Oryzias latipes: one gene and its partners. The protein of the gene in region 7 interacts with the protein of the main gene of each other region in a pairwise test. Links are inferred from orthologs where the notes say so. Each region holds a gene or a part of one and is shown on either strand. Other genes may lie near its edges. The genes, in order: mid2, c11h1orf109, tfip11, psmb1, bysl, creb5 and kinesin-like protein KIFC3.

The links.
Region 1: the proteins of kinesin-like protein KIFC3 (region 7) and mid2 interact in binary tests that used the Homo sapiens proteins (3 or more experiments, as listed by UniProt). The two-hybrid records come from large-scale screens. The link is inferred for Oryzias latipes from reciprocal best matches to the Homo sapiens genes KIFC3 and MID2.
Region 2: the proteins of kinesin-like protein KIFC3 (region 7) and c11h1orf109 interact in binary tests that used the Homo sapiens proteins (3 or more experiments, as listed by UniProt). The two-hybrid records come from large-scale screens. The link is inferred for Oryzias latipes from reciprocal best matches to the Homo sapiens genes KIFC3 and AIRIM.
Region 3: the proteins of kinesin-like protein KIFC3 (region 7) and tfip11 interact in binary tests that used the Homo sapiens proteins (3 or more experiments, as listed by UniProt). The link is inferred for Oryzias latipes from reciprocal best matches to the Homo sapiens genes KIFC3 and TFIP11.
Region 4: the proteins of kinesin-like protein KIFC3 (region 7) and psmb1 interact in binary tests that used the Homo sapiens proteins (3 or more experiments, as listed by UniProt). The two-hybrid records come from large-scale screens. The link is inferred for Oryzias latipes from reciprocal best matches to the Homo sapiens genes KIFC3 and PSMB1.
Region 5: the proteins of kinesin-like protein KIFC3 (region 7) and bysl interact in binary tests that used the Homo sapiens proteins (3 or more experiments, as listed by UniProt). The link is inferred for Oryzias latipes from reciprocal best matches to the Homo sapiens genes KIFC3 and BYSL.
Region 6: the proteins of kinesin-like protein KIFC3 (region 7) and creb5 interact in binary tests that used the Homo sapiens proteins (3 or more experiments, as listed by UniProt). The two-hybrid records come from large-scale screens. The link is inferred for Oryzias latipes from reciprocal best matches to the Homo sapiens genes KIFC3 and CREB5.

Annotation. Positions count from the first base shown.
Region 1 is NC_019868.2:12,829,799-12,834,255, reverse strand, and holds the start of mid2 (probable E3 ubiquitin-protein ligase MID2), read left to right. Parts: upstream 1-1,444; 5' UTR 1,445-1,818; intron 1,819-4,457. UniProt on the Homo sapiens protein: E3 ubiquitin ligase that plays a role in microtubule stabilization. Mediates the 'Lys-48'-linked polyubiquitination of LRRK2 to drive its localization to microtubules and its proteasomal degradation in neurons.
Region 2 is NC_019869.2:20,075,644-20,079,839, forward strand, and holds the start of c11h1orf109 (uncharacterized protein C1orf109 homolog), read right to left. Parts: upstream 2,963-4,196; 5' UTR 2,544-2,962; coding exon 2,266-2,543; intron 1,034-2,265; coding exon 854-1,033; intron 394-853; coding exon 275-393; intron 202-274; coding exon 161-201; 3' UTR 1-160. Other genes in the region: cdca8 (borealin), read left to right, coding at 3,460-3,550. UniProt on the Homo sapiens protein: Part of the 55LCC heterohexameric ATPase complex which is chromatin-associated and promotes replisome proteostasis to maintain replication fork progression and genome stability.
Region 3 is NC_019867.2:13,548,482-13,552,964, forward strand, and holds the start of tfip11 (tuftelin-interacting protein 11), read left to right. Parts: upstream 1-1,545; 5' UTR 1,546-1,674; intron 1,675-2,073; 5' UTR 2,074-2,075; coding exon 2,076-2,281; intron 2,282-2,360; coding exon 2,361-2,526; intron 2,527-2,607; coding exon 2,608-2,764; intron 2,765-2,873; coding exon 2,874-3,001; intron 3,002-3,131; coding exon 3,132-3,293; intron 3,294-3,526; coding exon 3,527-3,718; intron 3,719-3,829; coding exon 3,830-4,009; intron 4,010-4,152; coding exon 4,153-4,287; intron 4,288-4,414; coding exon 4,415-4,483. Other genes in the region: srrd (SRR1-like protein), read right to left, coding at 1-127, 205-356, 461-559, 645-823, 911-951, 1,062-1,204. UniProt on the Homo sapiens protein: Involved in pre-mRNA splicing, specifically in spliceosome disassembly during late-stage splicing events. Intron turnover seems to proceed through reactions in two lariat-intron associated complexes termed Intron Large (IL) and Intron Small (IS).
Region 4 is NC_019861.2:24,487,444-24,491,760, reverse strand, and holds psmb1 (proteasome subunit beta type-1), read left to right. Parts: upstream 1-1,517; 5' UTR 1,518-1,610; coding exon 1,611-1,711; intron 1,712-2,053; coding exon 2,054-2,161; intron 2,162-2,433; coding exon 2,434-2,515; intron 2,516-2,896; coding exon 2,897-3,026; intron 3,027-3,224; coding exon 3,225-3,331; intron 3,332-3,403; coding exon 3,404-3,589; 3' UTR 3,590-3,919; downstream 3,920-4,317. Other genes in the region: phf10 (PHD finger protein 10), read left to right, coding at 82-179. UniProt on the Homo sapiens protein: Non-catalytic component of the 20S core proteasome complex involved in the proteolytic degradation of most intracellular proteins. This complex plays numerous essential roles within the cell by associating with different regulatory particles.
Region 5 is NC_019863.2:2,276,492-2,280,871, forward strand, and holds the start of bysl (bystin), read right to left. Parts: upstream 2,993-4,380; 5' UTR 2,884-2,992; coding exon 2,619-2,883; intron 1,991-2,618; coding exon 1,834-1,990; intron 1,737-1,833; coding exon 1,598-1,736; intron 1-1,597. Other genes in the region: med20 (mediator of RNA polymerase II transcription subunit 20), read left to right, coding at 3,190-3,203, 3,376-3,521, 4,069-4,322. UniProt on the Homo sapiens protein: Required for processing of 20S pre-rRNA precursor and biogenesis of 40S ribosomal subunits. May be required for trophinin-dependent regulation of cell adhesion during implantation of human embryos.
Region 6 is NC_019874.2:16,138,950-16,142,129, reverse strand, and holds the end of creb5 (cyclic AMP-responsive element-binding protein 5), read left to right. Parts: intron 1-84; coding exon 85-242; 3' UTR 243-685; coding exon of another isoform or gene 686-715; 3' UTR 716-2,547; downstream 2,548-3,180. UniProt on the Homo sapiens protein: Binds to the cAMP response element and activates transcription.
Region 7 is NC_019874.2:16,695,995-16,699,149, forward strand, and holds the end of kinesin-like protein KIFC3, read left to right. Parts: intron 1-673; coding exon 674-804; intron 805-885; coding exon 886-1,006; intron 1,007-1,092; coding exon 1,093-1,222; intron 1,223-1,367; coding exon 1,368-1,597; intron 1,598-1,678; coding exon 1,679-1,804; 3' UTR 1,805-2,613; downstream 2,614-3,155. Other genes in the region: ccdc12 (coiled-coil domain-containing protein 12), read right to left, coding at 2,907-2,986. UniProt on the Homo sapiens protein: Minus-end microtubule-dependent motor protein. Involved in apically targeted transport. Required for zonula adherens maintenance.

The DNA of each region.
Region 1 (4,457 bases), on a different chromosome or scaffold from region 7:
AGAAGTTTTCACCACCCTGCTGTAAGCACCTTCAGTTATATAACCTCCATTGTCATAATAAGTTGCCATTATATTTTTTCCCATTTTTCCAGAGAAGGATTAGCCAGTTTAACATTTGTTTTTTTTCACATACCATTCATCACAAGCAAAATGAACAACATATTAATATTTAGAAATTATAAAAATACAGTTTGAATTAATATGTAAACCAACCTGTGTGTTAGACTATAAAACAAAGCATTAATGTGTCTAGATGGAAGGTAGCCGGTGTTAGAGGATGCAGACAGGGTTAGATGGAGGAAGCTTATTCGCTGTGGCGACCCCTGAAGGGAAGGAAAAGAAGAAGAATTTGGATGGGATTTTAAAAAAACAAATTGTCCACCCAAAGCTCTTGTGGTCTAGAGAAATATTTCATGAGGATGTTTTTCATATTCTGACACAGCTTTGATGTTAGTCACACTGCAGGATGGTTTACTGCTCTATAAGAGCAGCTCCACATAAATAGATGCAGTATTACAAAATATTTATTTGTGAGTTTGTGGTTTTGCACAATTTGCACACTTTTATTCAACCTTAAATAAGGGATTGAAAAACTCAATGCATGTTTTGTGTCACAAAAGCTGAGGAGTCCCTGTAAAGCTTCTAATGTTGAGCAAGTCATACTGACAGGCTCCAAATGCTCTGCCCTGGAGTATTTTATAGCTTCATTTTGTGTGTTTATATGTTTACATAAAAAGTTTGCAGGTTACGGAAAAAAATATAAAACAATGGACAATACAGGCTTGTGCTGTTTGCAGCCCTTCAGGCTAATTGCAGTTCTGAAATGCAGTATAACTGTTTTACAGAGAAGGCCTGTGAGACAAAGAAAACTGTATTTTGGCTTGCTTGTGGGGATAAAGTTGCAAGGTTGGCAAGTCTCCCCTGCTAATCCTGTGGCCTCCAGCATGTTGCAAAGATAGTCTGTCCCAAATACATGCAGTAGGTCAGTTTAACATACATTTCTGCTCAGATATTTTGCGGTCTCTGACAATAAATCTGGAGGGAAAATTTGATGTTTCTTTCTTTTTTTTTAAATTATTGCATAAGCAAAAGGTAAATTTTTACCTTTTTAAAAAAGTATTGGAAAATAAAATATTTTGTGAAATTGCTCTTGTAGTATAATTGGTCTCCAGTTGGGAGTTATTTTTACTAAGTGGGCATTGTCTGTGTCATGGCAAGATTGTAATTCATTTTTAATAACGACCATGTGTTTTTTTTTTTAATCCACAATTTGAATAAAATAAATAAATGGGTTAAAAATAAAAGGACATATTTTTAGTATCTATAGTTCTTTGGAAATCTATAAAGACTGCACTGTTGAAAGTGAACAGAAATGACAGCGACGCCGTGAGGCCACGCGGGAGGAGAGCGCGGGTGGAGCAAAAGAGACGTTGTGCGCACAGCTCGGGGTTTTCACAGTGGAGCAGTGGAGTAACCGATCCCAGATGCTGCCGTGAGGGATCGAGAGCTATTCCCGTATCCCTGTGGGTTGCCCACGTGACTCCTCGGGGATTGTTTGGTGTGGGGACCACGTCAGGCGGCAGGGAGAGCGCGCAACGTTGCGCGCAACTGAGTTGGAAAGCAGCACCCAGAAGAGGAAGACGCGCTCTCGCTCCTCCGGCGGCTCGTCATCCAGATGTGTTTTGGGGCGTTGACTCTCGTCTCTCACCCACTCTGATGCTCAGTCGCACCTTTGTCCAAACTTTCCGTCCAGGATCTGTGATCTTCTCCAACTGTTCTTCCACGAGGGTCCATCCAGAGCTGTCACGGGGGGCGGAGGTAAGCTGCGCGTCTTTGTTGTGTTTATTTTTGGTGGAGTAGCCTCAGGACAACGTGCGCTGAAGGATAAGCGCTGACTGAAGCATCCGTCAATGCGCGAAGGGCGCGTTCTGTTCTAATGACCCACATCCATGGAGGAGGGGGGGGGGGGGCAGAATGAAAAACAAGCAGAGCATGACTGACCATCTCATTCTGTTTTAAATGAGGTGTGCCACTTTTACACCACAAGCATTTTTTTTTTGGAGAGTCAGGAAACTGTTTCTACAAGATTTTGTGGGCATTATTTTGAGTTTCTTTTATGCACATTTCATGCACACCACACGTATCCTCTGTGGTATTGCATAGCATTTCAGGAACCAAGGCAGCCACCATAACTGACACCTGATCCGGGAGCCTGATGTCAGTGAGACGCTTTGTTTGAAGAACACTCAAAAAAGCTGGGAATAGCTCCTGGAGTGTGACATGAATACATTTCACAATAGATTACAACTCAGTTAAAAACTGAAATTAATTACCATAATTTTTAGAGTCACATTTTTTGTTATTGACACAATTTTTGTTATGGTTTGGCAAAGGGTGCTACTTATATCAACCTTTTCCTCTTTATTAGGCATTTTTTGGCTGCTGTGACTTAAACTGTGAAAAATGTAGTAAAGTACGTTTTTTGTTTTGTTTTCTCATTCCTAGTGACATTAGGGAGAAAGTGGCACAGCGGCAGAGTGTAAAATGTCAATGGGCAGCAACTGATCAATAATGAATGAGTCAAAACAATGCAGGGCAGGGAAAGAGGGGTCAACTGTCACGAAGTGCTGCTTGTCCCTTTTTTCACCAAGGCTACCCATTGATTCAATAGAAACCAATACATTAGTGACACAATAAAACCAAGTGCTGTGTCTGTTGCTGGGGAATTCAGCGGCACATTTGATGAAGTGGTGTTTCACAGTCTTTTAAAGTGATTTATGGTCCCCTGCACTCTTTTCTTGCTCTGTGGTTAATGCACGATCAAAGTGGCTAATGAGGCAGGTCTCAGTGGATGGGGGCTCGACACCCAAATGCAGTCGAGCTAGTCGTGAGAGTATAGCTGACACCCTCATTCATCATGGTTCTACAGGCCTGCTCTTTCCAATTTATCTGCTTTTTTTTCCTTCCCCCTTTACGCTCTTAGATGGTAATTATTATGATGTTTTAATGATGACAACAGTAGTCACTTTTTTGTGACAGGGACAGGGGTGTCTGTCAGTTGACACGCAACTAGAATTTTGCAGCTGCAGAGGATTCCATGAATAGAACTGAGAGGTACATGTTAGACTGTGTGTCTTAGCTGGCATTGCTCACACAGAACCAAAAAAGAAAAAAAGAAAAAATTTAATTCTTAAGGAAAAAACAAGTCTTCAAAAAGTACTGTTTTTTTTCTGACTATAAGACGCTCCAGGGTACATGCCACAGCAGCCAAAAAGTGCCTAGAAAAAAAGAAACGATCATATATAAGTCACACTTTTGAGAGAATTTAATTAAACAAAATACAGAAAAGGGATCTTAATCTTGAAAGGCAAATCCTATTTGCAGCAAAATTTCACTGTACTTGTACAATGACAATAAAGCTATAACTTTGATGACTTCTTTTCAATTTTTATAATGGAATGGATAACAGTAATAGTCAAAATATCTGTACACTTCACTACCATAATACATTGATTCCTATTTAGCTTCATGAAACATAGGAGTAGTTTAGAATAGCCCAACATATGAACAATTATTCAGATAACCATATCATAAAGAACATGCTAACAAGTCATTTAAACTCTTTATATTACTTCAAATGACTAAATCCGTTCAATTCTTCATCCTCTGTTTCACTTTGGAACAATTCTGCTTAGCCCGGCGTAAGACTGAATGACTCTTCTTCCTCTCTGATGTTGTCAGTAGCAAATACTGATACACACACCTACAGTGCCTTCTAGCTGTTGTGCATTTTTTCTTTTTTTTAAAAACACATATAAGTCACAACTGAGTATACTTTGCACCCCCGCCCAAATACATGCAAAAAAAATGCGATTTATACTCCAAAAATAGGGTATATGTATTATTTATTTTTTAAGATTAAAAAGAAAGAAAAAATTAACTTGTATAGTTGCTAAACTAACTCTTATCACCTTAAATGCCCAATATGATCTTCAGTGGCTATCATTTTGCTATTAATTTTTAATGTTTCAAGCTTTAAATAATGTAAAATGTTCTGGGTAATAATAAAAGCTGTGTTTAGCTGAAAGAGAGCTCAGTCTGTTGTTGATACACAAGAGTGTCATCAGCATAGAAATAGAAATGTTATTTGACTTTTAGTCCTTTTTTTTAATTATAATTTGTGTTTTTAAAACTCACACATAAGAACCTGGATCAATTTTTTCATCAAGTAACTGAAAGTTTCAAATATGCTTCAAAGAAATTCTAAAAAAGTTTTTAGTAAGTTTGAGTCATGGCATCTCAACGTAAAATCTTCTTCCTTTCACCACTCATGCTAGTGGCTTGACTGGTCTGACTACTTTCTTTTCCTTTCCTTTCCTTTTTTTTTAACCTCTTTTCTATAACCTTTTGAAACCCTCTAAGTGGTTTTGTCAATAGCTGCTGACAATTTTCTGATT
Region 2 (4,196 bases), on a different chromosome or scaffold from region 7:
CGTGTGTGGTGTTGCAACTGCAGTGAACCCGACTGTGTTCAGTAGACAATAAAGACGATTTGATGAAGTGTCTTCAAATCCCTCGTCTTCCTCTCCGTGTCTGCATCATTGACTTCTGTCCTGCTCAGAAGGTTCTGGTTCCAGTTCTGCTCCTCCGTCTTCACTCCAGCTCCAGGAAAAATGACACTCTGCAAAGTGTTTCTGCAGGAGACAAGAGTCCCACATCTCAGAGTTGGCGGAGCTCGCGTTTCAAGCTTCGGACAGTTAATGTTACCTGTGATTCGCTGCTCGCCGTCAGGAGACTCCAGGGACTTCCACCTCTCAGGAAGGGATTCCAGCAGAGCGAGGTCGTTGGGTCTGAGCGTTTGCAGCAGAACTTTCCTCTGCAGGAATCTGAACATGAGCTCAGGAGAGCAGAAGACAGAAACAAAAAAACAGACTGCTGGCTCTACCATTCCCCGCCCTCGCCGCCAACTTTTGTTTTGCCCTGGAGGGCATGATCATAATCATAATTTTAAAGTTTTCTATGGATATCCTCCGTTTTGGCTTTGATTGAAGGATTTGAAATATATTTTTTGAACCCCATTAGAGATCTTTGCCCCATTCATTTTTGTGATGGTTTCTCCCACTGGAATGTTTATTTTATTTTATTTGTTAGTTTGTTTGTTTGTGTGTGTAGGGGGTGGACTATGTCAAGCCTTCCTATGCAGCGGGTACCGGGTCTGTGCAGATCTTGGTAAATATTTTAGCATTTGCCGTTTCGCTCTCAGAAAAAAAGAATTGCAAAAACAATCCGGTCCTTGCCGTCCATGAATGCTGCGGACCGTACCAACAGCACAGACAGGAAGGATACTGCTGCCTGTAGTGGCGCTCGGCGTCCTGAAGCCACTCCAGCATGTCTGCGACTGACGGGGTGACGGCGGAGCGCTCTGTGACGGCCTGCAGGTCCAAACTGGTGGCGTTCTGCTCATACAGCTGCATGACGGACCTCACCTGGTTACTGATGGCGTCTCTGGCAGACTGCAGACGACACCTGAGAAGGAAAGGAGTCTGTCTTAGTCCTCGGACAAGGAAGCCCTTGAAGACTGATAAAAATCATGTTTTTATCTGTTTTGACAAGTTTTTGCGGCCTTTTTCTGATGATCGAGGACATACATAAAGAAAAGTATGCTTAAAATTGGCAATCTGAAAATGTCTTTATTCAAATTGCTGTGAATGAGGAGCAGAAGAAAAAACCATGATGTCCCTGAATGCATCAGCACTGTCTCTGCTATGGACACACCTGGCATATGACACGGTATAACGGGGTGGGATTATATACGTTCGCTTCCTTCCACTCCCTTTCAAGCAATATTTATTAATATGTCTAAATATCCTAAGTTTGATTCGTCATTGTATGAATGTATAACTGATGATTGTATTGTTGTTGTGTATTGTTCTTATTTGATTGGTTGAAATAAACCATTTAAAAAAAAAAAGAAAAAAAAAGACACGCGTTCCAGAACATGTTAACCCATAGTGTTCACACAGTGCTAGTGGGTTGGGGCTTCTCCTTCTTCTACAATTGACCATGACTTGTCTTCCACCTACAGTTGGCAGAGTCTTGGTGCGAAATGTCAAAGTGGTGCAAATCTCTTGTATATCTGACTCCAGGCTTTTTCTTTTCGCATCTCTAGTCCAATATATGAAAGATTTAGTGTCATATATTCCGACTGGAATCAAATCAAAATCATTAATTTGTCCTCCATGGTCAACTTTCAAACGGTTGGTGTTTCCGTAAATTTAAAGGGGTGCCATCCATGCGTCACTACCAAATCTGAGTCCCTAATTGGTCAAAGTTCGACCTGGTTTAACTTTTAAGGTACATTTAATAGATGCACTTTTTGTACATACAGAGCTCAGAAATTATCGTAGAAACTTCAAGAGTTTAAACCAAAATGCAAATTTACATTTTTTTTATTGGTGGTTTCTTGAACGCGCATCGCTGAGGGCGGTGTGAACGTAGCTTAATGATGGTTCTAGTTTCTGGTAAAGGTCTTATGTGGCTTATTTTGATTTGGGGTTTTATCTTTAATATTTTCTTTAAACGGAAATTGTAATATATGGTTTGGTGCTAGTATCTGTACTACAGGAGCTCTTATTTTGAAACAAACTTTTTTTATGCTGTCACAAAAAACAGAGCTAATAGTCTTTTCAACGTCACAGGAGTCCCTGTGATGACGTCATCCGAGAGGCGCGTGTGTGTGGAGTTGTCGCGTGTCTCACATCTTCTCGTTGAGTTTCTCCAGCACCGTGTCCGCGGCCTCCTGCAGTTTGAAGCGCAGCCGCTCCTCCAGCTTCGGGAAGGTTCCGAGCGGCGTGCTGGAGACCCGCACGTTAGAGAGAGCTCTCATCTGCTCCGCTAGGTTCCCCAGAGACCCCAGGAGAGGGCTGCACTCCGCTAGCTCGCTCCCCCACAGCCGCTGGTTGCTCTCCAGCGCGGCGAAGCTGTTCCTGAACGCCTGGTGGAGGGCGCTGAGCGTCGGTCGGGAGATGTCAGACATGCCCTCGGCCTCCGCTCTGGCTTGGATGGGACTGTAAATATAGTTCTGACCAAGTCTGAAAGCCTCAGCAAAATTCTGCACTACTTTTCTGCGCAGAACCAGAAAGCGCTTCCGGTGTCAAGTAGTGACATATGCTGCCTTTACTGATCCTTGGAGATACGGTGCCCCATAAATACAGTAGCTCCTCAAAAAAGGCACTTGATTTCGGAAAATTGTATTTTTTCGTGCTCTCCTTTTTAAATCTACATACACACATACATACATTTTATTGATATATTTTCCCACTGGTTTTGTTAATGCTTCTGGACTTTTTGAGAACTTTTTTTTATATTTATAATCACAGGCATGTCTGTAGGAAGTTGCTATTTATCTTGGTTAAATTGGGTAAATTGTAATTGTGAGTTAAAAAAACTTTTTACTTGGTGACTATTTTTAGTATTTCCTGCCCTTCAGCTGTTTTACAAAAATGCTTTTTTTGATTCTTACTGAAACGCTTTCCATCAGGGGACGATTCATTTTTTCCCGAGTTGTCTTCGAACGCAGCATTGAACATTCGCAGTGCCGAACCCTGATGACGGGGCTCAATCCACGTCCTGATTGGCTGGATTTGTGTCTTGGCTCCGCCTCGCGCGGACATTTGAAAACGACTTCGCGAAGAAGGCAGGCCAGAGGGAAACCCACACAACTGTTACCTTTGTAAGAAAACCCGCTTCAAACTCAGACGAATTGAATCTAAAAACATTTATATCATAAGTGAGACCAAAGAATGAAAACGGGAGTAAATTAATCTGCCGGATAAACTCCTGCCGATTCCAAAGCTAACAACATAGCTGCTAACGTCCTCGGCGGCTTATTTTTTTCCATCTCGAAAACAACGTTTCACAGTTTTCTCCTGTTTGTGAAGTTCTGAGCGGACATGGCGCCCAGGAAAAGGACCACGAAGCAGCGAAAGAACAACCAGAAAATTGAAAAACTGGAAGTTTTTTTGGAGGATTTCGACAGCGAAGGTAAACGACAATGCTAGTTCGGCTTAAGTAAAGGCTCGGCCTACAGTTTGTTGTCTGAAATAAAGTGTTCTGAAACCCAACAAACCGAACCTGTTCAACCTTTGTCAGTAACAGCTGAAAGAGCTGACCAGGTTGGGGATATATATATATATATATATATATATATATATATATATATATATATATATATATATATATATATATATATATATATATATATATGCCAGCTCTTACCAGCTAATTCAGAATTGACAAAGCCTCTTGGATAAGGGGTGAAACATCTTCTAACTTTAAAAACTAAGTCTAGATGACAGCCCCTAAACCTACTACTATGATGGAATCAACCTGGATGAATGAGTCTTCAAGACAATCCAAAGAAAACAAAAAATAACTTCATTTAGCTGTTATAATTTGTTATTATCATTTGGAAATTGCAGGTTTTTTTTCATGAAAGACCCTACAAGAGTTCCTCTCCTTATATGTGCAATTTCATGCACTAATAAAAAAATGTGCTCAAAAACTAGTTAGAATTTGTTTGTAAATTTACTGATCGCTTATTTCCTGTTTGTGTTTTTTGTTTTGTTGCTAAAAAGATAATTATACGTAAAAAAGGAAGTTCTGCTCCTTCGAAATGATGCAATAAACC
Region 3 (4,483 bases), on a different chromosome or scaffold from region 7:
AGCAATGACTGCCGTATCACTGAAGACATCTATCATGTGAGAAGGACAAGGCAGCATTTTTTCCTCACAGAGGTCCACAGCTTTACTGATGTAGCTGTATTCCTGTTTGAACACTCTTTCCACCGTTCTGCAACAGACAGAGGACATTATTTCATCTCTGTTTGCTAAAAACGATGCGCTCCATCATCAGTGTTTTCTACGAACCTTTCCCTCATACCATTGAAGCTGTTTCCAATGATTACAAGCTGGTATAATCCCCGTAAGCTCCAGTTTTTCCACAGTAGGTTGTTGTACAGAGCCTTCCCACAGTGCATGAGATAAAAAAGAGTGGGCTTGGTCACCAGACGCTTCCCCTCCTAAATAAAACAGCGGATACTTTAGTCTGTTTAGATCTCAGTTACGGTGATAACATCAGCAGTTTGTTCTCTAGAAGTGCAAAAAGAAAAACAATTGACATGACCTCGTTTTCTGTGAGTACAGTCATTCCCAGCTCCCTCAAGACATCCTGCTCTCCAGAGGAGAATATGGGATCATAAACCAAGCAATCCCTTAAGGAAACCTTTAGGAGAAAAAAAACTAAATGAGCAACTCAAAACAAACATAACACATGTTTGTTAGAACATAGTCTAATGCTCTCTTCTGACCTGTAATACTTCCAGCAGCAGAAGCAGCATGGCAAGCTGATACCGGGCTGCAGTGCAAGAAGAAAAGGAGCCAAGGCCATAACACACACACTCCAGCTGATCACCTGTGTTCTTCAGATGCTCCTCAGTGACGTCCTTCTCTGCAGATGCTGATGCTGTGGATGCCATCAGCAGCTCATCTGAGGACGAGGAACATAAGAGTTACAATTCAATTACACACTAAATAAAAAAAACATGTCTAAAAAATTTGGTTATGTTTTACTTACCTTTCCATTTGTGCCAAAACTCTTCGCATCTCAACTCAGTCCTATGAGACAGAGAGTAAAGAATGAGATATCAGAATTAGTTTTCCCCTCGATAAGGCACAATGAACTATGTTTATGAGTGGTTTTCCGTTTTTTTTATTTTATTTCTTACACAGTGGTCCTGATCCGTCTGACAACTTTCTCGACATCAAGCTGGTCTTCTTGGACGCTGGTGGAACTTAAAGGCACATGAGATTTAAACTTCCTTGTTTGCCCTTTTCGACGCCGAGCGACCTGCCACTCACTTTCAGACATTTTTTTTATCTCATTCCCATCATTCAACGATCTATAATAAAATGTTAGGGGTGAAAAAAAAACAGTGATAATAATTAAAAAACAAACACCCTAATCACCTCCGCCACAAAATCAGCAGCGCGTAGGACGGTTTTAAGTGTAACACATTTGTCTTCCGGTGTAACGCCAAAATAAAAGCTTTTATCACATAATTTATTAACCTAAATGTGTGGTGTTGCTGTTTTAACTTAGAGAAATTTATATAAAAACCAACACAAATCTTTAGTAAATGCAAACAAATAAAAATAAGTAAAATCTCAAAGTTTTAAGGTCACAACATTTATTCGTCAGTACTGACGGACAGACTTTACCCGGAAGTATTTCCACGTTCGTGCGTTGAACGAAAAGCTACACAGATAACCTCTTCTTGCTACAGACAGCCAAGAATGAGTTTTAATTAATCTCTAAGTGTATAAACTATTTCTTGTCAAGTAAGCTTTGTTTGTATTAAGTGCCTTTCTACTTTCCAAGTTCGAAATGTTTCTGCAGTCGTAATGGGATTTAATGTCCCAACTATCGTTAGCTAGATTTCGCTAAAAAATCTCATCATTTGCATTATTAATATCTGAGTTCTGTTAGTTAATACCTTTTTGCTTGAAACTTCTTAATGTATTTTTACGCTTTCAATCATACAAATGTGCAATACAGTTGATATTTATGTTGATAATTGTTTGTGACCGAAACAGTTTTGTGGCTAGCTTCGTGCTTAGCTAGCGTTAGCAATCATTGCTGACTGTGGTTTCATGCTGTTGTACGATTTTTTAAGCAACTTGAATGTTTTTCAATTGTATGGCTTTTATGATTTTTTTTTGTATTGGGTCTCTATCTAGAAATGTCGATGTCCCATCTTTACGGGCGGAGGGAAGAAGAGGAAGAAGGTGTGGAGATCGAAAGCTTCGAGGTGACAGACTGGGATCTGGCCAATGAGTTTAACCCAGAACGCCGCAGGTTTAGGCAGACCAAGGAGCAGGCCACTTATGGGATCTGGGCTGACAAAGATTCAGATGAAGATGAGAGACCCAGCTTTGGTGGCAAGAGGTAATTCACAGGTTTGATGCTCTGATGTCTAAATGTGAAAATTTTTGCAGAGGATGTTAACAGTGTACATTTTCTTTAGGTCGAAAGATTACAGCACCCCAGTGAATTTTGTTAGTGCCGGTCTACGTAAAACTGCAGCCGAGGAGAAACAGCAAGACAAAGAAGAAGGTTCTGATGATTCGGAAGAGGATGCCCCTGCAGTTCCCCCTCCTACTCGTGGAATTGCACCTAGAAAACTTCAGATGGTAAAGTTTCGCTTAAGAACATATTTTATCTAAAAAAGCTTTCTTTTTAAACTGACGTCTATAATTTCTTTGTTTTGTCAGAGTAATTTTCGTGGGAATCAGTCCCAGAGGTTTGCTGGTGGAATACAATCTGGACAGGGTATTGGAACCTGGGAGAAGCACACAAAAGGAATTGGACAGAAGCTTCTGCAGAAAATGGGTTACCAGCCTGGAAAGGGGCTTGGAAAAAATGCTCAAGGTAGGCAGCGTAAAGGAGGAAAAGTACTGTACACGATTGTGCTTTTGCATGCATTTCAGAGGGAAAATAATAGAGATTTTATTGCCATGCCTCTGTTTTGTTTATGTAGGTATTGTAAACCCTATTGAGGCAAAGGTCCGTAAAGGTAAAGGAGCTGTAGGTGCATATGGCAATGAGAGAACCCAGCAGAGTCTGCAGGACTTCCCTGTGGTTGACTCTGAAGAAGAGGAGGAAAAGGTGAGATTTTGCCACGAGCAGTTCTTTACTCCATATAATCTTGTTTTCACAGTGATTGTGTATCTGAAGAATTGAGGGCTAACTGTGAAATTATCTTCTTGTTTTTCTCCTGTAATGTGTGTTGTTGTAGGAGTTTCAAAAAGAATTGGGTCAGTGGCGAAAGGATCCTGCGGGCTCCGCAGTCAAGAAGAAACCAAAATACTCATACAGAACTGCAGATGAGCTGAGGGCTAAAGGCAAAATGGTTTCTCGGAACATGGCAGCATCTGCAGGAGAGTTGGCGCAGGTTAAGGTGCGTTAAAATCCTGCGTTATGTCCTTTTAATTTCGGGTCAGAACAATGAAAAAAACCACAAACTTTAATATTTTAAAGAGCTTCACAAGCATCTACTTGTTTTTTTTTTTTTTTTTACATTTCCTCCTTTCAGCATAAAACTGAAATAAATTGAAAGATTTTTATGGCCATGGAAGTAAAATGATTCAAGTTTTCTTTTTATTAATTGTTTTTATCTCTCTTCAAATTTAGGTTATAGATATGACTGTAAGAGAGCCAAAGGTTTACTACAGTTACAGTCAGATAGCCAACAAACACAGTGTTCCCGATGAAACCCCACCAGCCATGTCCACACGGGATCAGAAGGGTTCCGGCTTCGCTCTCCCTGAGCTTGAGCATAATCTTCAGCTGCTGATCGACCTCACAGAACAGGACATTTTACAGGTCAGAGGAAAATCTGAAATTCTTTCAAATCATTTTCAACTATTAACCCGTTTCAAGTGGGCTTCCAGATTTAATTTTTTTCTTCTGCTCTCTTTATTTATTCTTTTGTAGTCGGCCAGACGTCTACAGCATGAAAAGGACGTGGTCGTTTCTCTGAGTCATGAGTCCCGTGCGTTGCAGAGCAGACTAGAAGCAGAGCAAGATGCCATCCAGAAAATGGAGGCTGTTTTGGCACTGGTGGAGCGTTTTCCCTCTGGAGAGACGCCACCAGGGGAGGGACCGACTCTTCAGGTACGTGGCACATGAAAATACCCAAACTAGATGTACTTATCTTGCAGTTTATTTGTTCCTAATGGTTTTTAATCTCCATTCTTCTAACATTTAATCATTTTGAACATACTTATTTGTTTATTTTCTCACCTCTCTGTGCCCAGGAGTGTGCCCAGATCTTTGAGACTTTACAAACAGATTATTATGAAGAGTATAAAATGATGGGATTGGCAGACCTGGCTGTGGCAGTTGTTCATCCTTTACTTAAGGAGAAACTTCACTCATGGGAGCCTCTAAAGGTTTTTTTTTTTTAATTATTCTAATTAAATTATTACGCTTTTATTTCTGTGGGGGGGAAAACAAACACCTTATTTTCAACATGTTGCTCAATTAAGATACTAGAGTTAAGACTGTTTTTTGTTGTAGGACAGTGCATACTGTCTGGAAGACATTGGTCAGTGGAGAGCAATCCTTGAATCCAGGGATCTTCGTTCC
Region 4 (4,317 bases), on a different chromosome or scaffold from region 7:
AAAGGGAGAGGGGAAACGCATTTATTTTTTATTATCTCTTTGTTTTCTTTTATTGTTTAATACTTTTTTTTGTTTTTCCAGGTCTTTGGGTGTGTGAAGTTTGCGACCAGGGTTTTACACCCAAGAAGAAAGGAGGGGGCAAAACACCTAAAAAGTCCAAGTCAGCCAAAAAGTTATGATTTAGTCATTTATTTATTCCAAGACTGTTGTTGAAGTAAGATTACAATTAAGCATTCAGTTTGACAAAAGAAAACATAACAATGTAAAATAATTACAAATTCTAGATCTTGTGTCCACACTTTCATTCTTTTATATGACTAAAGCAGGAATTATGATTTAAAATCAACAAATTTTCTTTAAAAAAAAAAAAGCCAAATACTTACTTGCTTGTTTCTCTGTGATGTCGACGTACAAACAGTGTTGTTTTTTTACTATACCATACACCTTTGAGTCAATTTTACTGCAGAAAACCAATAAGTTACCCTGTGGGGTTCCAAGCATTTCTTTGGGAACTTTATTTCAGGTCAGCAAATGGTGCTCTTCATTACGTACTACTGATAGTTAGTTTAAAACAGGGCTTTGGTCGAACAACTTTTTGTACGCTTGTGGGTTTCGTAATGTATGATCATTTTTGTTCAAATTCTGTGAAATTTGCATTAAATAAATGGGTTCTCTGATCCTGTACGCCTATTTTAAGTGAACAAGGAAAAACTATGTGTTCTGTCTGTCTGCTTAAGTTTCTTGGTTTTCGAAGTGAATTTTCTGTGGTTTTTGTTTTTCGTAGTTTTACAAAAAAATCGAACTTAAAAAAAGTACTCTAAGACTGAATCTGTAGGTATTTTTTATATTTCTTTTTTAATTTATTTCTTTTGCATCATCCTGGAATTAATGAGTTACAAAATGAGAATTTCAACTAATGTTTATTCACTGCAGTGTTTTTGGTTTGTTTTTCTTTTTTTCTTCTTTTTTTTTAGAATAAAAGTTTCCTTTAAAAGGCTTTTTGTGTCTTGTGTATTAGATAAAATCACAATTTTGACAATTTAGTGAGGAAATATAGTTGTTTGTGATTTTATGATTTTGTAAAAGCAATGGCCATGTAATTAATATCTATTACACTTCTGGATTCCTATAGCAAATCATATAGTGACATAAGTGTTCTATATAAAAAATGTGATTGTTCTTTGGACCAACTGTTTTGCTTGGTTTCTGTTTTCAAGTCTCAGCTGACAAAATTAAAATATAAATAAATTATCTGTATCAGATTTATCTGACTTTCTTTTAATCAAAAACAAACTTTTCAGAAATGTTTGTGTGTTAATAAATAAGATGCAGTGTACAATACAGTTTGTTACATATATGTACTTGTATATTGTTATATAAAATTAGTCCATTTATTGTATTTTGAAAAATAAATAATCAAACGACTTGTGCAGGCAACATTTTAAATATAGAGCCTGTTCTGATGTTACATCTATGCGCCTGTAGAGGCGCTGTCGCGCACACCATATGTGGTCACTCATTTACCGGCGAAGAAGAGTCTGCCATATTGCAGTGATACAGCGAGTTTGCCCGGCTGAAATCTCCAATCTGTTGGCTATCTTGGTTTAAAAATGCTTTCAGCTCAGAATTTTGGAGAATCTGGAAAGATGAAAGAATACCATTATGCGGGACCCACGGAACATCGGTTTTCACCATACGCCTTCAATGGAGGGTTAGTTTTATTTTGATCATCTTGCATTGCGGTGGTAGACTAGCTAGCCGTGCTAAAGCCATTCCTAGCAAACCAGCTCTGTCTAAAAAAAAAAAAAACTATATTAAACGTTAGGCCACTCTGAGTACATTATACCAGACTTGCTGTTGAACAAGTAATTGCATTATCTTATTGAAGTTAACATTTAAAAAGTAAATTGGGTTTAAGTTGAAAGTTTCGCTTTCGGTCTTCTTGGCCTCAGTTAGCATTATGTTTAGGACAAGTTTGTTTTCACAGTTGACCTGCTCTATCAGGGGTTTAAAAAAAAATGAACCCATGTATCTTTGTTTAACATCTCTTTAGAACTGTGCTAGCTGTTGCTGGGGAAGACTTTGCAATTGTTGCTTCAGACACCAGGCTGAGTGAAGGCTACTCCATCCACAGCCGGGACTCGCCGAAATGCTACAAGCTGTAAGTATTCTGTCGTTTCACTGTGCTTCTCTGTAGAGGCAGATAACAGAAGTGGTGACCCTTTAAATACTTGTTAATCTCGTCTTTTTGTGGTGTTATATTTGTGAAATTTTAATTGAAAGTTTCTAATTTTATTCATGCAATTTTGAGAATATTGGGCTTCTGCAGAAGCAGCTTTTAGATTCAGACAATCGGCAAACAACATTTTTTTTATGCAAAAGATTTGCTCTACATTATAAAATGTTGTTTTTTCTTCTCTCTTTTAATTAAAGGACAGACACAACTGTCCTTGGCTGCAGCGGTTTCCATGGTGACTGCCTGACACTGACAAAAATCATTGATGCCAGGCTTAAGGTAGGACAGAGTTCTGGGTTTAATACTTTTTGATGAGATGCCACAATACTTGTCCTTTATCACATAATCTCCTGAGACCCATTTAAAAAGCTGAAAAGGTTCTGGATACATGCATAAGGAAAAACTGTAAATGATAAACTTTAATTTCTCTTTAATGACCCTACAGATTAAAAAAATTCAGAAATTATTGTTATTAAACATACAAAAATAAAATGTGTAATTCTAGGTTTGTTTGCTTATTTTACCGTGCACTCTTAAAACACAAATCAGACATTTCAGTGAAATGTATTGGGATCAGCCCCAAATTAGCTGTACAAATTACAGTGTTTTTGTCACTTGCTGCTACAAAAAATAGAAATGTTGTTTTCTCTCCCTTCTTAGATGTACAAACATTCAAACAACAAGACTATGACCAGTGGAGCCATTGCAGCCATGTTGTCCACTATCCTGTACAGCAGGAGATTCTTCCCATACTATGTCTACAACATCATTGGGGGGCTAGATGAACAAGGTCGGTGGTTGTATTGCATCGCAATTATATTTAGTGGAGTTTTTTGGGCAAATATACTTGTTAAAATAGGATGTTATACATTTCTAAACCACCATATCATTATCATTGGCTGTAGCACATTTGTTATACCTAAGCTGCTTTTTCTCCTGTTGTTTTAAATTGTTTATTCATTAAGAATATTGATCATTTGTAATGTAGGTAAAGGAGCAGTTTACAGCTTTGACCCAGTGGGGTCCTATCAGAGGGACACCTACAAGGCTGGGGGATCAGCTAGTGCAATGCTGCAGCCATTATTAGACAACCAGGTAAACATCACACACATTAATACATCCTAATTATTGTGGACAGAGTCTTTTTTTAAACTTATCTTTCCACAGATCGGTTTCAAGAACATGGAGGGTGTGGAGCATGTTCCTCTGACTAAGGACAAGGCCGTTCAGCTGGTCAAGGACGTCTTCGTTTCAGCTGCTGAAAGAGATGTCTACACAGGAGACGCACTTCGAATTTGCATTGTCACTAAGGAAGGAATTGAAGAGCAAAATATACCACTCAGGAAGGACTAAGAAAAAAACAAGTTTTTTTTTTTGGTCTGTGGGTTCAGCGTATATTCTGCTATTCTGACCCCTTCCTATCAGATTTCTAAGCATAGGAGTGTTGATCCAAAGGTGAACTCTTATTTGGCATCATAACAGACATGTTTTCACTTTATTCTTTATTTTCTGTTCTTGCCGCATTATTGCTAGTTTGGTCAAAGAGCTTCATCATAGATCAGCACTCCTGTTCTAAGAATCCACCTCCCTAGACCCTGCTTTTGTTCTGATTTTCTATCTTTTGAAGTTAAACATTCTCTGCTCTTCTTTTTACATTCTTAATAAATATTAAGAATAAAAAAATGTGTCGTTATTTCATCTTAGCATTAAAACTGGAGCACAGCAAAACAATCAAGAGTTTGCTTTTAGAAGATTTTTCTGACACAAAATACAGAAAACTGCAGAAGTCTGGCAGTAAAAGCTATATCCGTGTTTACAACATTCAACACTACATTAGCAAAATCCTGGGACACAAAAATATTCTCTGGAGTTCAAAACAGTAAGTACTGTATCATAGAATGTAGTAGGAAATATAATATAACTTATTTATACAAAAGTTTAGTGGGAGCTTGAACCGTTTCGAATGAACAGAAAGCTGATGTTCTGCTAAGACCTCTTGCCCCACTTCGTGTAGACACCATTCATTTCACACTTAAAGACAAAATGCTGCCACTTTTTTAAAAATTGTGTGAATGTTGTCA
Region 5 (4,380 bases), on a different chromosome or scaffold from region 7:
TCAGACCTGTTGCCTTAACCTCCCACCTGATGAAGACTATGGAGAGGATCATCCTCAGCCATCTCTGCACTCAGGTGAGCTCAGCACTGGACCCGCTGCAGTTTGCATATCGACCAGGCATTGGGGTGGATGACGCCATCATCTACCTGCAGCACCTAACCCTCTCACCTGGAGTCCCCTGGGAGCCCTGTGAGAGTCATGTTTTTTTGATTTCTCCAGTGCTTTCAACACCATCCAGCCATCACTGCTGAGGAGGAAGCTGGAGGTTGCAGGTGTGGACCAACATCTGGTTGCTTGGACCATCAACTACCTCACAAACAGACCACAGTTTGTGAGGCTGTGTGTCTGATGTGGTGGTCTGCAGCACGGGGGCACCTCAAGGGACTGTGCTCTCCCCACACCTGTTCACCCTGTACACATCGGACTTCACCTACAACTCCCACCACTGTCACCTGCAGAAGTTCTCAGAGGACAGTGCCATTGTGGGCTGTGTTTGTTAAGCTAAGCTAACATCCATCATGGATAACCCCTCCCACCCCCTGCACCAAACTGTAGAAGCGCTGACCAGCTCCTTCAGCATCAGACTGTTGCACCCTCAGTGTAAGAAGGAGCGCTACCGCAGGTCATTCCTCCCCACAGCCATCAGACTGTACAACACCGTGTTATAGTAGCTGTGTTTACATGGGCAAAAGTAATTGGAAAGAACACCTGAATCGGAAGGAAAATGTGTCATGTAAACACACCGTTCAGAATACTCTGCCCTGATCAGACTCGTTTGGATCAAAATGTCTTTCCGATCGAGATAGGTGGGTTATGCCGATTGTTGATCCAATCGTGTTACATGTAAACAGTTCATTCCGATCGTGTCACTACTGCTCTGGTTTAACGTCACGCATAGACGGTGTATCGCTCCAGAGAAAGCTTTGGAGCGCAAACAGGACCAACCGGCTGCTCTGCGGAGGACCGGTGAGAACCGCCGCTCTGCTCTCGCCCTGCTGGCTCTTCACCTCTCCCCTCTCTTACACCCCTCACGAGGGGGCTGCGAGGGGGAGCGCTTCGTGCCCCGTGACGTCTGGACCCTGCGTGGTCCGGGCTCGGGTGCCGGTGGACGGAGCGAACTGTGTCTCTGAGCAGAGCAGCCGGATTCATAACTTTGTGTTTGAGGGGAGTGTTTGTGTTCATCAAAAAAGGCTAATGTTGTTAGCGCGTGTGTTAGCCTCTCCAGGGTTCTTCCACAAAAAAAAGCACTGACCACACGGATTAAAATTAAAATGATGAGCGAACAGGCGCTTCATAATATTCATAACATTGATAAAAGCACGTTTAGAAGATCGTCTTGTATATTACCGAGCTGCTGCATGAATGTATGTGGCAGCTCGGTTTGTTTACTGTGGGACCCATTTCCTCTTTCGGTATTTTCAACACTACTGCTCATGCTCAAATGATTTATTCCAACCGAAAGTGTGACCCATGTGAACGTTTGTTCTAATCGGAAAAAGGTTTTCTGATCCCATGTACACGGTTGGATTTTAATCCGATCCAGATATTTTGCGCATGTAACCGCGGCTTATGTCTTCAATAATATAAGAAAGCTCACCTTTCCCACACCTCTATAAACCTCTGTAATTCTGGGGTCCAGCTGAGGCATGGGGCGCCCTGACACCTCCGACATCACCGTCCCCACTTCGGTCTGCTTCTCAGTGATTTTCTCCATGATTATGTCTGCCAGGGTCCTCCTACGAGAAAGAGAAACATGTTAGTAGGGACAGAAGAAACTGGCCTGGTGGTTTCTGTTTGTTGTTGTTGGTTAGTCAGAACTGCCATGTTTCTTGCCTCATTGGTGGGTTTTTATTCATGAACATCTCAATGGCCTTTTCGTCTTCTGGGTCTACAATAATTTCAGCATCACATTCGGTTTCTGCCGCCCCAGAAACTGCTTCTCCCAGTGCGGGCCACTCTTCATCCGAGTCTGCATCCCCAGATTCAGGACCTACAGTTACAGGAGTGTTTAGAACTCACATAATGAAAAGATGCAGATCTAGATGTATGGAATCACCCAACTAACTACAGAAACGAGTAAATGAAAACATTATTACTTCTATTTTTAAGTATTTATTTACTGAAAGTATTTTAATTTGGAGTGTTTACTAAAACCATCATTAGTGAACAGTTAACTTTATTTTTAAGTCATAGCATTAGTGCATCCCTTAGCAAAAAGTAGTCTATTTAAGTAAACTACAAGTATACTGTCTATACTAAAAGTAAAGCAGTAAACTAGAATTTTCTTTTTATATACATTTAAAATTTTCCAATAAAAGTCTGAAAAAGTATTCAGTTACTATATGTCCTACACTACACGTACATGGTCTATACTTGTACACTACTACACACTTATTACTCAAGTATCCTTAAGTAAACTTCAAGTGTACTTGTCTTTGTTAAGGGTAGATGGGTCTGAATTGTGATGAATCTGTGATGCAACTTTACTAAAGTTGGTCATCGTTTTCTTCGGTAAGAAAAACTAGAACAAGAGAGAACCTTTAGAAACCTTAATCAACGGCTTCTGTTTGATCATTTTCTAAACTGAAGCGGATGTCCTGGTTCTGATCCAACATTACCAAGAACAGTGACCGGTGTCGCCTTCTTCTTCTCCGGTACCAGCCCATATTCGGTCTGAAGCTCCTCTTGCTGAATTCGGGCTTGCTGTAGGATTTTCCGCGACAGCCGCTCGTCTACGTAGGTGTCGTCGCTTTCTGGCCGCTGGTCTCTGCTCTTAACCCGGTTGCGGGCTCGGACCGTGTCCGTCTGCAGGATCTGGTCAGCCAGCGCCACGGATCCAGAGCTCTTTTCTCCTCCACCTTTAGATTTCTTCACTTTCGGCATCGCTACAGCTCCAAAAAAATTTACAAGCTAAAGCCTGTCTATGCCTTTTTAGTGTGTAAACACCCAGCTGTTTAGCACGTGCGGACAAACGGCATGCGCGACAGAGGCAGCGGAAATACATTACGTCACATCCGGTTTCATTAAAAATGTTTCGAAACATTATATATGAAAGAACCTATGTTTATTAACTGAGTTAATCAGTTTAACTCAATTCGTCTATGTTCACTTGTATTTTTATTTTATTTTTTCCTTTACCGGAAGTCAATTTGTTTAACCGGAAGTAGTTGCGAAGGAGGCAAAACAAAAATGGGAGTAACTTGGTAAGGAATATTTTGGCTCATTAAAGTGTAATTATTATTTCAACATAGTTTGGTTTCGCTATGTTTATAGGACCTGTCTATTTCAAATGTTTGTTCTTTTGGGGAAAGCGTGCTCCTCCCCTTCATGGATGCGTTGGGTTGTCGCTGCTCAGTCGGGTGTTTTGTCTTTCAGTGTTTGTCAGGTGCCCATAGCGGAGGGCAAGAGTGTGCAGCAGACCGTGGACGTCCTGCAAAAAAAGCTGGAGCAGCTCGGTTCTGTGAAACAAGGCAGCTTCTGCGTGGATTGTGAGACATACCACGCCACGGGAAACGTTGTCGGTAAGCTCGCTACTTTTTCAAGCATCACGCGGGAAACATATTAGTAGTTATTTATTCATGTGGTAATTAGTTGTGGTTGCTTAGACCTTTAAAAAGCAATTAAAAAAAGGTGATTGGCATATGAGCTCCGTTTGTGCCCTTGCATTTAATTGGTAGCATTTTTAACAAGAACATTCAGGGCTTTTGCTAATTCTTCCTTCAGACACATCTGCAGTAAATATGGGACACAATTAAGCATACATAGCCACTTTATCTTATGTGTGTTTGTCAAATTATCTTGAGAATATTTTACAAATTAGATAAGGGTCCTATTAGTTCTACTGGAGTGTGACGACAGATCACCCCTTCAGCTGCACTTTAATGGCTCTGGCCTTTTATGGTAGAAACCATCTCAAAGCCTTACTATAAAACCAAATATTGTTTAAGGTTTTAGACTTTAAAAACCTTTTTTACATCAATAACAGATGTGCCTTTATTTGAATCATGGATGTGGAGTTTATGTATTATTGAGTTGAATGCATCATCCAGTGTTTCCCGTCTGTCACAGGTCAGCCCTCCAAGCTCTTATACGTGATGCATAACTCTGAAACCCCTCTGAGCTGCATGGCCCTATTCGAAGGAGGACCCTACTTAGTAGCTGATGCTAACTTTGACGTCCTCATGTCCAAGTTAAAAAGTCATTTCCAGAACGCCAAGGGACACAAGGTGGAGAGTCGAGGCTCCCGCTACCGATACTGTGACTTTTTGATAAAGGTGGGCACTGTGACGATGAGCTCCAGCGCCAGAGGCATTTCAGTGGAGGTATGGAAATGCAGTTTGTCCCTTTCAGCGGGACGGGTGGACATGATGTGCCCTGTGT
Region 6 (3,180 bases), about 560 kb from region 7:
GAGGTGCACACTTGTGTCTGTGCCCTAATTAAAGGCTTTTCCTACATCTAAACCTGATCCGCGTTGTCTCTGCTGTGTCCTCAGGTCCAGAGAGCAGTCCAGCAGGCAGCCCAGCTCCAGCATGCAAACAGCAGCAGCAGGTCATCCAGCACAACACCATAACAACCTCTACAACGACTGTAGGGGGCAGCAGTGTGCACGGGCAGGCCAACCATCACACAGACATTAATCCTATCCACTAGGAACAAGTCTAAAACCTCAGCTACAGCCCCGAACCCCCACCCACCACAACCTCTGCATTTTGAGGGTTACCAGCTGCACACGCTGCCCCCACCCCTCAAAGAAAAAATAAATATAAAAACCTCAAAGGCCTGTGAGGCTGTTCTTTATACAGTAGCTAAAGTATATTTTTATAGACCTATTAACGCATAAATGTTCGATGCTCTTGCTTTTTTACCTGCTTCTTTTGCGCTCGCTGAAAGGTTAATTTTGCTCATATCATGCACCGTTTCAATGGTTTTCTGTAGTGTAACGGTACTAAACTGACCATAGTGGTTTAAATTTTTTTTTTTTTTTTAAAAAGGACACATGAGCATTATCTGACTGTCATTGCTACGAACGATTGTTTCACTTGGCAGATGGACTGAAAAGTAAACCAAATGTTGTCTGTTTCACATGTGGACAGAGTGCTGAGCATTTGCTGCACATTACGTAAAGAAACCGAGTCATGCGGTCACCATGATGTCCAAAAAGACAGAAATATGCAAGCAGGTATAATATTTGTTTGTTTTGTTGGAAATAAAGGGACTGTTAATATTCTCTCATCAGCATAGTTTTCATAAGAATGGGACTTATGGAGAGCACGGAATACGACATGATAGTGATGTAGCCATATGATCAAGTCAGAGAATAAACTACAGTATCGATCATTTTCTCTTGAATGATCATGTAATAATCACTGTGATAGCGGTGAGGCAGCTCAGGACCAGGCAAAGCTTTAGAGTGTGTGTGGCATCCCTTCTGGTCCACTTTTTAATGTTTATTTAACTTTTTAAAATGAAGACTTCAAATTAAATAGCGATAATTGTGTGCTTCAGCACCGTTTTGCATGTGGATATTTCGTACATTTGTGTTTTCCTTCTTTTGTCTGCAGAGCAAAGTTCAGCGGCCGCGCTGTGCGAAAAAGTGACGACTTGTAGCGTTTTCTTTCCCCGTTGAGGGGGGGGGGGGACTGGCAACCTTGAAGGGAACAATCCTTGGCATGGTTTCCAAGATGTCACAACGTGCCTCAAATCTTTATTCAAATAACTGTGGGCTTATTGCAGGCGGCAACAATTGCAATTTCAAGAATCTCTTGGTTTGTTTGTTCATTCATGTCTTAATGCATTTACTATAAGGCCAAAATTCCTCTGATTCCCAGATGAATACACATCTGACCTTGAAACCTAATCTTCTCATCTTGACCGCAGCTCCTTGTTCTTTCCCAGGAATGTCAGTTCATTAGCATGAAGACCACAGTGCACTGTGTTTTACAGTAAGACGATGGAGATCCACTCCACTGACAGGTGGAGTAATCGCAGCGCTGTCTATGCACTTTGTCCTCTGTCGTGCCAGAGGGTAGAATAGCCATATTAAGGTCAGAGTAATTCTCAGTGATCCCCTGTCTACACACACCAGCAACAGACCTCACTGTGTTTGGCTTTATGAAGAGACTGTGCCTGGCTTGCATCACGTTGAAACCAGGAGGGTTACATTGCAAGGCTCTAGTTAAGGACCAAGCATCATTTCATTTGTGCTCTCGTTGTTGTTTTTCTTCTCAAAGATGAAGACAGTGAAAGTTTATATTTCCATTCCCTTTTTGAGTGCATTTGTATCTTTTATGTCTTTTTTTTTTCTAATGTTGGACTTAAATTCTCATGAAAAAAAGGGCTTTGTTGCACCAACCTTAAGTACTGAACCTTGCCTTATATCTGGCCGTCAAACCACCCTTTGTACATTAAGTTTCTCCAAATCCTTTGCATGTGAAAATGGATCAACAATCTAAAAAGTATGTTCAACTGGAATGAATAAAAACAGAGTAAAATGTATTGACAGGGGATCTTGGTTTGGAGAAAAGATCTTTGAAAAGTCAGATGTGCAGCATGAATGTGCGTGTGAGAGTATTCTGTGCGCTGGAGAACAAAACTCTTTCTCCCCACGGATGTTTTAAATGTATAATTTTAAATATTGTACATAATATTGTTCATTTTCTATAATCCTGGATATGTAACGCAACCACCTTTCTATTCAAAGGGCGTATGAATGTGTGGTACGTTTGTAAATAATGTTCTTTTCGCACTTGTTGCCTTTTGTTGTATTTCAAGGCTTGCTCCAGCACTTGTTATATAATGAACATCAATGCCTGCATCACTTTGTACATTTTTTTGTTTGTTTTTTGGCGTGTCGTTTATTACATGGTTACATTTTATTTGACATTTGTACAGGCGTCTAAGCATATTGTTGCTGTTACATTATGATATAAAAAAATAAAGCACTTGTTCTGTAAAATGACTGTATTTTTTTCTCTTTTAAAGACAATTATTTGCTCTAAATTGACTTCTGCCAAAGGAAAAACGCAGTTTAAACCAAACCTTTGTTGATGCTCAGCCTTGAAAAATATCCCCTCATAAAATACTTATGCTTTAAAGGTTTAGAATGCTCATTAATTATTGATGTGTCTAGACAGCTTGATAGAGGCCCGATGAAATAACATTGGAGTTAAATTTGCAGCACACACATGTTGTTCTTGAGTCCAGATAGATGCAAAGTGGCCGCTGCACTCAGATGAAGAGATGTGCTCATATTTAGATTTTCCATCAGATTAGAACAGGCATCAGCTCCAGGATGCTTAAGTTAGGGGATGTCAACCCATGCATGCTCACTCCAACAGGTCCTTTAGAACTTCATATTCACCTTTCAGGGGAAGAAAGTTCCACGTGTGTGGAGAAAGAGAACTTTACACCAAAAACCCTTTTTTTCTTAAACACACAACTGCAAATGTGTTTTATTTAACCCTTGTGCTATCCTAGGCACTTTAACATTGGGAGTTGGGTCATCTAGACCCACTAGACAGTGCGCTGAGCCTTTTTTCTTCAATGATTTGTGATCTTCATTACTTCATAGATAAGGAAAATATTACCA
Region 7 (3,155 bases):
CGCTGGCTCACAAAGTGATTAAAAAATCCCATGAAGTATTAAGAACAGGACTATTTATTTGTCTCTAGATTAATTTAAAAATATGTATTCAATAATCTTTTAGCATTTTAAAATTTGGAGTTTCAATATCATGGACAAATGAATATTACGGAGAAAAGAACTTCCAATGAAAAGGTTATTGTATTTTTTTTAGGTTTGAGTGAGGCAAGCATAATCATTTAATCCCATTTTATCACAATAAAATCTAAATAGATTCCATTTTGCACATAGAATTTTTCTTTTTTGTTGTTGTTGTAAAAATGAATATTACCTTTTGGAGTTGCCATGCTTAACAGTGCATTTTATTTAGTGGTTGGTTTGTTGGATTATTTCAAGTAATAATAACCAAGTAATAAAAGAACCAAAAACATTGATGTATCCAACCTTGTTAAAATATGACATAATTAATTGATTGGGAAATAAAGATATTTAATAAAGCTGAGACTGTCTTCTTGACATAACTACTCCTAATCATAAATAGACATATTTGCACTTCTAAACACAGTACACAGACATGAAACACTAAATGCATTTAATGTAATGATTGACAAATGGAGTTGTTATGATTTTTTTTATCTGTATTTGAAATGTTCGTGTATACATCTTTTTTACGTATTGAAGCACTGCATTTCAGGGCACCGTGGAAAACCCTGGAATTAACCAGCGAGCTCTGAAACATCTCTTTCATGAGATCGAGGAGAGGAAGGACATGTGGTCTTACAATGTCTCCGTCAGCTCTGTGGAGATCTACAACGAGGTGTTGAGGTACTTTAGCTGCTTTTGCATAAAGCTGGTGTTTTTTTTCAGGGTTGCCAACAAATTGTGTTCTTCTTGTTCCTATTTTAGAGACCTGCTAAGTAAGGATGGAGAGAAACTGGACATAAAGATCAACCCCGATGGAACAGGACAGCTGCATGTGCCTGGCCTCAGAGTTATAGAGGTCAATAGTTTTCAGCACATCAAAAAGGTATCAGAGTTTTTTTAATCATCAGTTTAAACAGTGAAAAAAGGATGCAGACTTAATTCCTGCTCACTGATTTTATGCCCATGAAGATTTTAGCCACAGCTCGACGAAACAGGATCACCTTCGGCACTCAGATGAACCAGCACAGCTCTCGCTCCCATGCTCTGCTCTGCATCACTGTTCAGGGCACTGACCTCGCCACAGGCTCCAAAACCACCGGTCAGTCTCCCTCGCTTTTTCTTATTTTGGAAACAGAGCACCAATGTCAGACTTGTACCTCATAGGTATCACTGGGAAATAGGAAGGAAAACAGGAGAGGAGGCTAGCAACAACTGTCTGTGACTGAGTCCGCTCTTGTCTGCAGGCAAATTGAACCTGGTGGACCTGGCAGGCTCGGAGAGGGTGTGGAAATCTGGGGCCGAGGGAGAAAGGCTGAAAGAAGCCCAAAATATCAACCGCTCACTGCTGGCTTTGGGGGATGTCATTCAGGCTCTCCGTGCTCGACAGACTCACGTCCCCTTCAGGAACTCTCGCCTCACCTACTTATTGCAAGACTCCCTGGGCAAAGGCAGCAAAACGGTCATGGTGGTCCAGGTGAGATTACTTCTCCAGCCCTTTATGAACTTTGGTTCATTAAACGCAAATTACTGAGCCGGATGTTTTTTGTTTACCAAGGTTTCTGCTCTGGAGAGTAACGTCGGAGAAACACTGTGCTCTCTAAAGTTTGCTCAGAGGGTGTGCAAGGTGGAACTAGGTCCTGCAGCCAGGAAGATTGAATCTGGTGTGGGACAGTGTGACTGAATCATCTGGAGTCTGCCTGATCATCATCCAACCGACCAGCCAGTTCCAATACTAGAATAACCCTCAAAGCTCTGCAGCAATCCTGATCAAGGGCTAAATGTGCAGCTGTTGCTGACACCCGAACACAAAACTCCATCATAATCATCCACTTCTGTCGCCATAATTCTTAATCTTTCCTCAGTCTGCATGGAGGAGTTGGTATCTTCCAATGGCCTCGTTCTTCTTCCAGTCTGGCTAATGAACAGAGAAATTCTCATCAGGATATCAACACTTCAGTTCATGCTGAGTTACTCATCCTGTTGTAAATGTCTGTAGTTTGTAATCTTCATCCCAAAAGTGATGTATATCCAAAGGTTGTAGTGTGTGGGAGTAGCTGAAGTACAAGCTGCTAATTTATGTCAGATTTTTGCAGCCTTTTTCTCTTTAGAGCGTTTGCCTTTTGTGGCAGGAATCTGTTGTGGAAGGAGCGGGTGGCCTTTATGTCCCGAGCTGTGCAGTACGCTCCTTCAAGATGAGGGGAGTTTTCACTGAAGAGGCACTTTATTGTAAAAGGAACGTACCATTTCAGCTCAAATGCTTGTAATAGAGTTCACTAGTGAAGTTCATACCAAATACTGTTTATGGGTTCTATTTTGTTCATTGATTTATCAGCGCTTTAAAGACAGTTTTGACTATAATGTAGCAACACGTTGATGTCGCATCAACTAACTTGAGTGCTTAGAGTCACTAAAGATAATAGTGAATCTTCAGGTAATTTTATCAATAAATATGGGTTTTGAAAAGTGCTTTTTGTCTGAATATTCACTGATTAAAAAAAAAAAGAAAAAAAGATGGCAACTAAATTTTGCTTTTCATTGATACTTCTTTTGGCCAAAATATCCCGATAGTTTTCAGTAAAACAACACAAGTCTGAAAAAACAATTTTTACTTTAAATGTTAAAAAATGATAACAGAACTGATTGCAGTAACACACAAATATACAGAACACCTTATTTCTATATAATAACTCTTGACTTGTGGCGAATCCTGACAGGAACTTCCTGCATGAAAGCAGCTGCTGCTTCCTCTGAGGACGCCCTCTGTCTCTGTAAACGTCCCATTTTCACTCCGAGTCCCCCTCCTCCAGTCCGACTGCTCCCACCGCTCCAGCCAGTTCCTCCTCGCTGCCTCGGAGACGATCACCTACATTTGTTTTTTTCAGAAAACAAGCTCAAATGTTTAACTGTTTACGCGCAAGTTGAGACTTTTCAGGGTTTTTTTTTTTACCATGACCTGAGTCCACAAAGAAAATGATGCAAAAACAGCAAAGATTTTCAAAATAAATGATGTCTTCTGTTTATATTTGTTTGCA